2 linked regions of the Xenopus tropicalis genome follow. The protein of the gene in region 1 purifies or fractionates together with the protein of each later gene. This does not show direct contact. Links are inferred from orthologs where the notes say so. Each region holds a gene or a part of one and is shown on either strand. Other genes may lie near its edges. The genes, in order: adnp2 and cbx1.

Region 1 (3,289 bases):
CCCTCCCTTGATGTCACTGATTTTTTAAATGAAGTACATTTGCCAGTCAGTATGAATAAATTATCAGGGGGTCATGGAAATCTTATCTCGGTGTGTTACATATACTGGACCAAGAGATGTTCTCAATGAGTGCTGCAGTGTAGCATGACTATCCTTTCTCTCACAAATACAAGTTACAATCAACATATACAGATACAGGGTCTACCATACATGGTTATATAGTTAAGTTGTTTTGACAAATTAATATCAACTCCTTCAAACCATCCCCACTGCACATAAATACACATACAGATCTATATAAACACACACATATATAATCTATATACCAATACATATATAATCTATATACCAATACATATATAATCTATATACCAATACATATATAATCTATATACCAATACATATATAATCTATATACCAATACATATATAATCTATATACCAATACATATATAATCTATATATCAATACATATTCTAAACTAACTAGATCTTTAGATTACAATAACCTTGGATATTATGCTTGTTGAAAAAGTCATTCAAGCCGCTCTAGGCATTTGTTTTAATAGATGATGTACTCTTTGTTGTATTAGAAGTCACCTCGGAGTTCCATGACATTTAATGGCCATGGAACACCTCAGTGAGTTATAATCCTTATGCTTTACTATAGGAGGTACATTATTCACTATATAAACTTTTCAGTGAATAATGGGGCTTGATACAATAATATTATATACTGCAGACCCAAAGTATATAAATCATAGAATTCAGTGAACACAGGGCACTCACAGATTATATATAATGTATCTTATAATTTCTCTATCCTGTAAACATCAGAAGGCTGTGGTCAGAAGATATCTTATAATAGTGTTTCTGAATTTCTTGGGGACCCAAATAAACTGCAAAATGTTTGCCACAAAATTAACTTTTGTAGAGAACGTGTTCACTTGTCGCCACTACTAATACTGCTGAATATAAACCACCCTTTTGATTGCATATAGTATAGCAAAATAAAAATAGGAGGAGAGGAGTAAAGGTGTTTTGTGCACTGCTAGATGGCATCATAAAAACACCTTGTGTGCCACTAGCCAAAGGGAATATTTGGCCACAGTGCTAATGGGTAGTTTGTCAGAATTTCCAAATGTCTTAAAATTTAGTTGTAGAAAACTAGTTTGAAGATGTCCATGCCCTGTGCACAGTATCTAATAAAGAAAAAAAACAAAAATAACGGGCAAGACAATTTGATATAAACGTACTTGCATTGAACTTTAATCATAACATATAGGCTTATCAAGTTTTGAGTTTGTGAATTTGAGTTTGTTTTCCTAATTTGAAAAAACTTGCATATCGAATGCTCACATTTATTAATAAGGAAAACTAGTTCAAATAAATTGGAATACCTAAAATTTTTTGAGTTTACAAACTTGAGTTTGAAAATATGTTTTGACTTTGTGTCAGCTCCCATTTCTGCAATTAATAAATACTAGACATTCGAGTTGATTTTTTGTAGTGCAAAAGAAAAAAAAACTTGAATCATGAAAAAAATTCAACTGGAACTGTAGCTTCACTGATACTGAACATTTGCATGCCTTGGCTGTCGATCCCTTGGTTTTCACTTATTTCAAATGTTTACTTCATCGTTCTTTATAAACGGTTTAGTTCCTCCATTTTTCACATTGTAAGCTGAAAGCATGTTAGGTGTTCATAAAAACCTTTCCGGCAAGTGTGGATGTGCACCTATGCAATAGCTTATGTATAACTACAATAGACTAGAATGTTGATTGAATCATTAGTATAGTGTAAGTATGTGTTCCAGGATAAAATGCTTAGGTGCTGATCGCCTTGTCCAGAAATAATATCCACATTAACAAAAAAAACACTAACTTTTCGAACCTGACAGTGCAACCTGGGGCAAACGCTTGCCCCTCCCTGATGACACTGAAAGGGGCTGAGCAGACATATAAATAAACAACAGACTTTCATCCAACTGCCAATAGCATTACATGGCCTGACCCTGCTGATTTGTGGCGTTGAGGTTGGTCTACGCAGCACTAATCCACATCTTTATTGGATATATTGATCTTTCTGTTGTACCATGCCAGGAAATATGTTGCTGATTTTATCAATATATATTTATAATTAATTTCGTTACACATTTAGGTTTACATTTTAGAATTAAAGGAAAAGTAACACAAAATTTTTTTAAGTAAAAAAAATCTATTCTACCCTGCCCCAATAATTGCCCTAAAAAAAGGGTTTATGAAAATGCCAGTGCTCAGATATCATAAGTTGCAACTTTAACCATTTAAGGCCCCCATAGAGTACATGAAACTGAGAACTCTACATCTATTTCCTATTAACTAATTCTGAATGTTGGTGTATTACACAGATTAGAGGGCATAATTTTACACATTATGAAAAAGGTATTCATAAACATACAGTTTCATATGGTATTATATAGAATTTATTAGAGAAACATTAGCTGTTCTAATTTGTTTTTTTTAATCTTTTATAGGATTATAGGTCAAAGACATTTTGCTGCAGTCTTTGTAGATTTTCAACCAAGTTGCTGTCTTCATTCAAGAGTCATCTAAAACGCTATCATGATGATGAAAAGGACCAGGAGCTTATGGCTGCTTGCCCCAGCTGCCCATTTACTTCACAGTCAAAAACTGTGGTAAAACACATGCGGATATTTCACTCCAGTACTAGGAAAACCCCTTCTAATAGCACAAGAGAGAATGTAAATTTGCCTAGAAATCATCTGACTGTCAAATTTTCTTGTACAAAATGTCAATATACAGACACTTTATATTACAGCATGAAAAAACATGTTCTTATGACCCATCATGAAGACTTAGTAGTTTCATATTTTGGAGAAAAAACAGATGAAGACATTGCAAATATAAGCTTGAATTCCACCATTTCATTTTTTAAGCTCCAGCCCGTTGATAAATTCTATTGCAAGATATGTAATTCAACTGCTAGCTCTAATGATGCACTGGTATACCATATTTTGACATCTGAAAAACACAGAGACCTGGAACAGAAGCTGAGGGCTGACATTTTGGAAACTAGTAAAGAAAGATCTAGAAAAATGCTAACAAAGCCGATGCAAACTGACTTTTTTCCTAAAAAACCTGTATTGGCACCAAGGTCAAATGCACCACTTGCAATTAATCACACCATTAAGTTAGCTTCTGTGCCACAAAATGGGCCTAGTCAAACAATGTCAACTTCTGTTACCCGTACACACAACGCTCTACCAACACTAGCTGCTGTTGCATCTCC
Region 2 (4,406 bases), on another chromosome or scaffold:
CTGCCCACCCCCCAGTCTCACACTCCAGTGCCATACCTACCCACCCCCCAGTCTCACACTCCAGTGCCATACCTACCCACCCCCCCCAGTCTCTCACCCCAGTACCATACCTACCCCCCCCCCCAGTCTCTCACCCCAGTGCCATATCTACCCACCCCCCAGTCTCACACTCCAGTGCCATACCTACCCACCCCCCCCAGTCTCTCACCCCAGTGCCATACCTACCCACCCCCCCAGTCTCTCACCCCAGTGCCATACCTACCCACCCCCCCCAGTCTCACACTCCAGTGCCATACCTACCCACCCCCCAGTCTCACACTCCAGTGCCATACCTGCCCACCCCCCCAGTCTCTCACCCCAGTACCATACCTACCCCCCCCCCCAGTCTCTCACCCCAGTGCCATACCTGCCCACCCCCCAGTCTCACACTCCAGTGCCATACCTACCCACCCCCCAGTCTCACACTCCAGTGCCATACCTACCCACCCCCCCCAGTCTCTCACCCCAGTACCATACCTACCCCCCCCCCAGTCTCTCACCCCAGTGCCATACCTACCCACCCCCCAGTCTCACACTCCAGTGCCATACCTACCCACCCCCCAGTCTCACACTCCAGTGCCATACCTACCCACCCCCCCCAGTCTCTCACCCCAGTGCCATACCTACCCACCCCCCCAGTCTCTCACCCCCAGTGCCATACCTACCCACCCCCCCCAGTCTCACACTCCAGTGCCATACCTACCCACCCCCCAGTCTCACACTCCAGTGCCATACCTGCCCACCCCCCCAGTCTCTCACCCCAGTGCCATACCTGCCCACCCCCCCAGTCTCTCACCCCAGTGCCATACCTACCCACCCCCCCAGTCTCTCACCCCAGTGCCATACCTGCCCACCCCCCCAGTCTCTCACCCCAGTGCCATACCTGCCCACCCCCCCAGTCTCTCACCCCAGTGCCATACCTGCCCACCCCCCCAGTCTCTCACCCCAGTGCCATACCTGCCCACCCCCCCAGTCTCTCACCCCAGTGCCATACCTACCGACCCCTTCCCATTCCAGCTTTAACTGTGCAGCGACTATAAAAACAGTGAAGTGATTCCCGGGCTCCACACTGAGGGGCTAAATCTGTGCCGGACCAGGCAGCAGCCTTCACGCCTACTAGCCACTAACATGGCCCCACACAGCCAGCAGCCTTCACGCCTACTAGCCACTAACATGGCCCCACACAGCCAGCAGCCTTCACGCCTACTAGCCACTAACATGGCCCCACACAGCCAGCAGCCTTCACGCCTACTAGCCACTATCATGGCCCCACACAGCCAGCAACAGATAAGCTCATTAAACACTGCCCACTCGGCCCGTACATGGCTCCCAGGGAAAGAACTACACTTCCCGCCATGCTAGGCGGCTCTCCCCCCGCGCATGCGCACTCCCCCGATCCCTTGGCGGCAGCGCTGCTTCTTTTGTTTGGAGGCGCCACATCCTTAGAACCGAACCGGATCGGGACGCACAGGAATCAATTTGTTCTGTTCATTCAGGGGATCGGAACCCGCTCCAATAGCCGAGAAGAAAGCGAGCTCCAGCCGCGCAGCCGGACCGATCCCAGGCCCCAGGCACCGGGGAGCCCAAGCAAGCGGCGGGTAAGGGCGGCCTGATCCCCGCATGTGCGCCTTCTCTCCCTACTGCCGGACTGCCCCCTCCCATTCCTCTGGGAAACGGGCCGCTGAGCATGCTGGGATTTGTAGTGCGTAACATGCAGCCAGCAACGTTCTGTTATTCGCACACAAACAAGTTCTTGCAACTTAATTCACTAGTGATTTGCCTCCATCAACCTGTAGCATTCCAACTGCTCTGAAAACTACACTTCCCAGCATTCCCAGCACAGGGTATAACTTGTTACAGGGATTTCACAAGTCCATGTTTGCACTATGGATGTAGCTTTGTTTCCCAGGGTTTTGTGGGGGATGCTGGGAGTTGTAGTCAGTGGCCCACTCTTGGTACAATGTTCTTCCCAAACTTTATGCATAGTGCCCAGTCACATGGTGGCTCCTATCCCCAGGGGGTAAGGTTGGCATATTATCCCCCAGATGCACCCAAGGCCCTGTGTGCGCACATTGCACCTCAGGCCACAAAACCTGAATTCTGCACGTCTGGCCCATAGAAAAGCAGAGGGAATGTTGGCTGTGGGGCCCCACACTCGCAGGGCTGCAGTAGCCAACGTGATGTAACCTCCGGCCAGGGGAATGTGAGGGGCAAACACTCCCACACAGCTGGTATTATTTGGCTGCAGAGCTTTCATTCTTTGGGAGCCATAATTAGCTTTGTACATTGTGTGGGGAGTCGCTCACTCAGTAGCAAAGTGCAGAAATAGAAGAGGCTGCAGAATGGGGGCAAAGGAGCAAGTTCCTGAGGTGAAATGCATATAGCATGTGTGTAACAGAGCCAGGCGGGGGGGGGCAATGCCAGGCTGGGGGGGGAGTGTTAGCTCTAAGCCAGGCAGCCTGGCACGTGGCACAGCTTCACTCAAGGCTACTCCTATTCATTCTGTGCACTGTGTCTGCATGGCTACCAAATGTATTGCACGTTTAGGGTCTGGATTATTTTGAATGAATAGTCTGTGGAGCCCTGTAATACAGGGGTCCCCAACCACCGGTCCATGGGCTGTGCTGAACCGGGCCACCTCTGGTCCCAATTACCCGTGATCCCAACTCCCTGATGCGTTACACAGCCATGACAATAGCTATGCGGAGCCCAGGAAGATTTCTACTGATCACGACAAGGACCAAAGTACTTTATTAAGCTGTATGCAATAATAATAATAATAATAATAATAATAACGTGCATAGTATGCACTAGTTGCGCCACACCCCCCCATCCCCGGTCCTTGGAAAAATTGTCTTGCTTGAAACCGGTCCGTGGTGCAAAAAAGGTTGGGGACCACTGCTGTAATAGATCCTGAGGCCATAACAATCCCATGGAGGGAAACATCTGGCCCTGGGGACCCTCCGCCTGGACAGCAGGGCTGTAGGAGTCAAGCCGGAGCCTTCAGTAAAATCTTGTCTGTAGTCCCAGGCTACATTATACCGTCTCCTTTATGGGTCTCCCAGAGCTTGCAGTCTAATCTGCGCTGTCTCGGCGCTGCAATAGGGATCAGTTATGTGAATCCGAGACAGTCTGTGACATCTGCAGCTGTGTCGTATCTCTCACACATCGGCTCAGGCCATTAAAGGGGATGTTTGCATGAACTCTTAGTGTGTTGTAGATAGACCTATGAACAACTTTTCGCTTGACCTTTATTATTTATTTTGTATATTTCGGTTTTGTTATTTCCTGCCGGCAGCTGAAAATTATGACTGGGTGTTGGGGGTTCATCACTACCATCAGTCCCTGACAGTAGAGCTTACAATCTAAGGTACACGCACTAGGGTCGCTTTTATTAGAAGCCGAATAACCTGCCTGTATGGTTTTGGAGTGTGGGAGAGCCACGCAGATATAAGGAGAACATACATATTTCATGCGGATGTGTGCCCTGGCTGGATTCAAACATGTAACCCCACACAGTAATGCAAACTACATACACATATAGGGAATTATGTACCCCCTTATGTAAAGCATAAGGATATTATAAGTCACCAAGTTCTCCTCTTTCTTCCCATGCAGCTCCATTAAGCAGATAAACTGGCGACCTCCATGGGAAAGAAGCAGAACAAGAAAAAGATGGAAGAGGTTGTCGACGAGGAGGAGGAGGAGTACGTGGTGGAGAAGGTCCTGGACCGACGGGTGGTGAAAGGGAAAGTGGAGTATCTCCTGAAATGGAAAGGTTTCTCTGAGTAAGTGCTGCTCCATGGTTTCTTGTCCTTATGCGCTGCTAATGCACATTGAACCGGTAAGGGGAGCGTTCATAAACCTGCACGCCGCGTCTGTATTACTGTAAAATATTACAGGTATGGGGTCTCTTATCTGGAAACCTGATATCCAACCGATCAGGAAAAAAACAAAAGGGGAAGTAAACACAAATATTAGTGTTCATTATGACAACTTACATCAAAAGTTAAACTGAGACTCCTCCCCCCCCCCCCCCCAAGGAAATCTTGTATCCACCGATTGGCTAATTTTTTTTGTTTTTTATTTCGCCTTAAAAAGTGACTCAGCCTGCCATTGAGTGTGAGGGAAGCCCAAAACGCCTAAGGCTTTACTCATGGGTTAATAACTTTTTTTTACAGCTGAATATGAGGGATTTTAACCAGCGTCTGCTCATTGTACTTTTTTGCTCCCCGTTATTGATCCCAACTGATATCTATATACTGTGGCTGCTGGTTGGTTCTTCAGTTGCTGTGTTTATCAGAGGTTCTGAGTGGAATTCAAATGGGCCTTTTGCCACCTTTCTTATCTCAGGCAGCCAATGTTTG

Evidence for each region.
Region 2: the proteins of adnp2 (region 1) and cbx1 purify together in Homo sapiens (affinity purification with mass spectrometry; 5 studies listed by BioGRID and IntAct, with this or other methods). This does not show direct contact. The link is inferred for Xenopus tropicalis from reciprocal best matches to the Homo sapiens genes ADNP2 and CBX1.

The regions. Positions count from the first base shown.
Region 1 is NC_030682.2:96,896,191-96,899,479, reverse strand, and holds part of adnp2 (ADNP homeobox protein 2), read left to right. Parts: intron 1-2,513; coding exon 2,514-3,289. UniProt on the Homo sapiens protein: May be involved in transcriptional regulation. May play a role in neuronal function; perhaps involved in protection of brain tissues from oxidative stress. May be involved in erythroid differentiation.
Region 2 is NC_030686.2:11,721,838-11,726,243, reverse strand, and holds the start of cbx1 (chromobox protein homolog 1), read left to right. Parts: upstream 1-1,515; 5' UTR 1,516-1,637; intron 1,638-3,657; 5' UTR 3,658-3,687; coding exon 3,688-3,827; intron 3,828-4,406. UniProt on the Homo sapiens protein: Component of heterochromatin. Recognizes and binds histone H3 tails methylated at 'Lys-9', leading to epigenetic repression. Interaction with lamin B receptor (LBR) can contribute to the association of the heterochromatin with the inner nuclear membrane.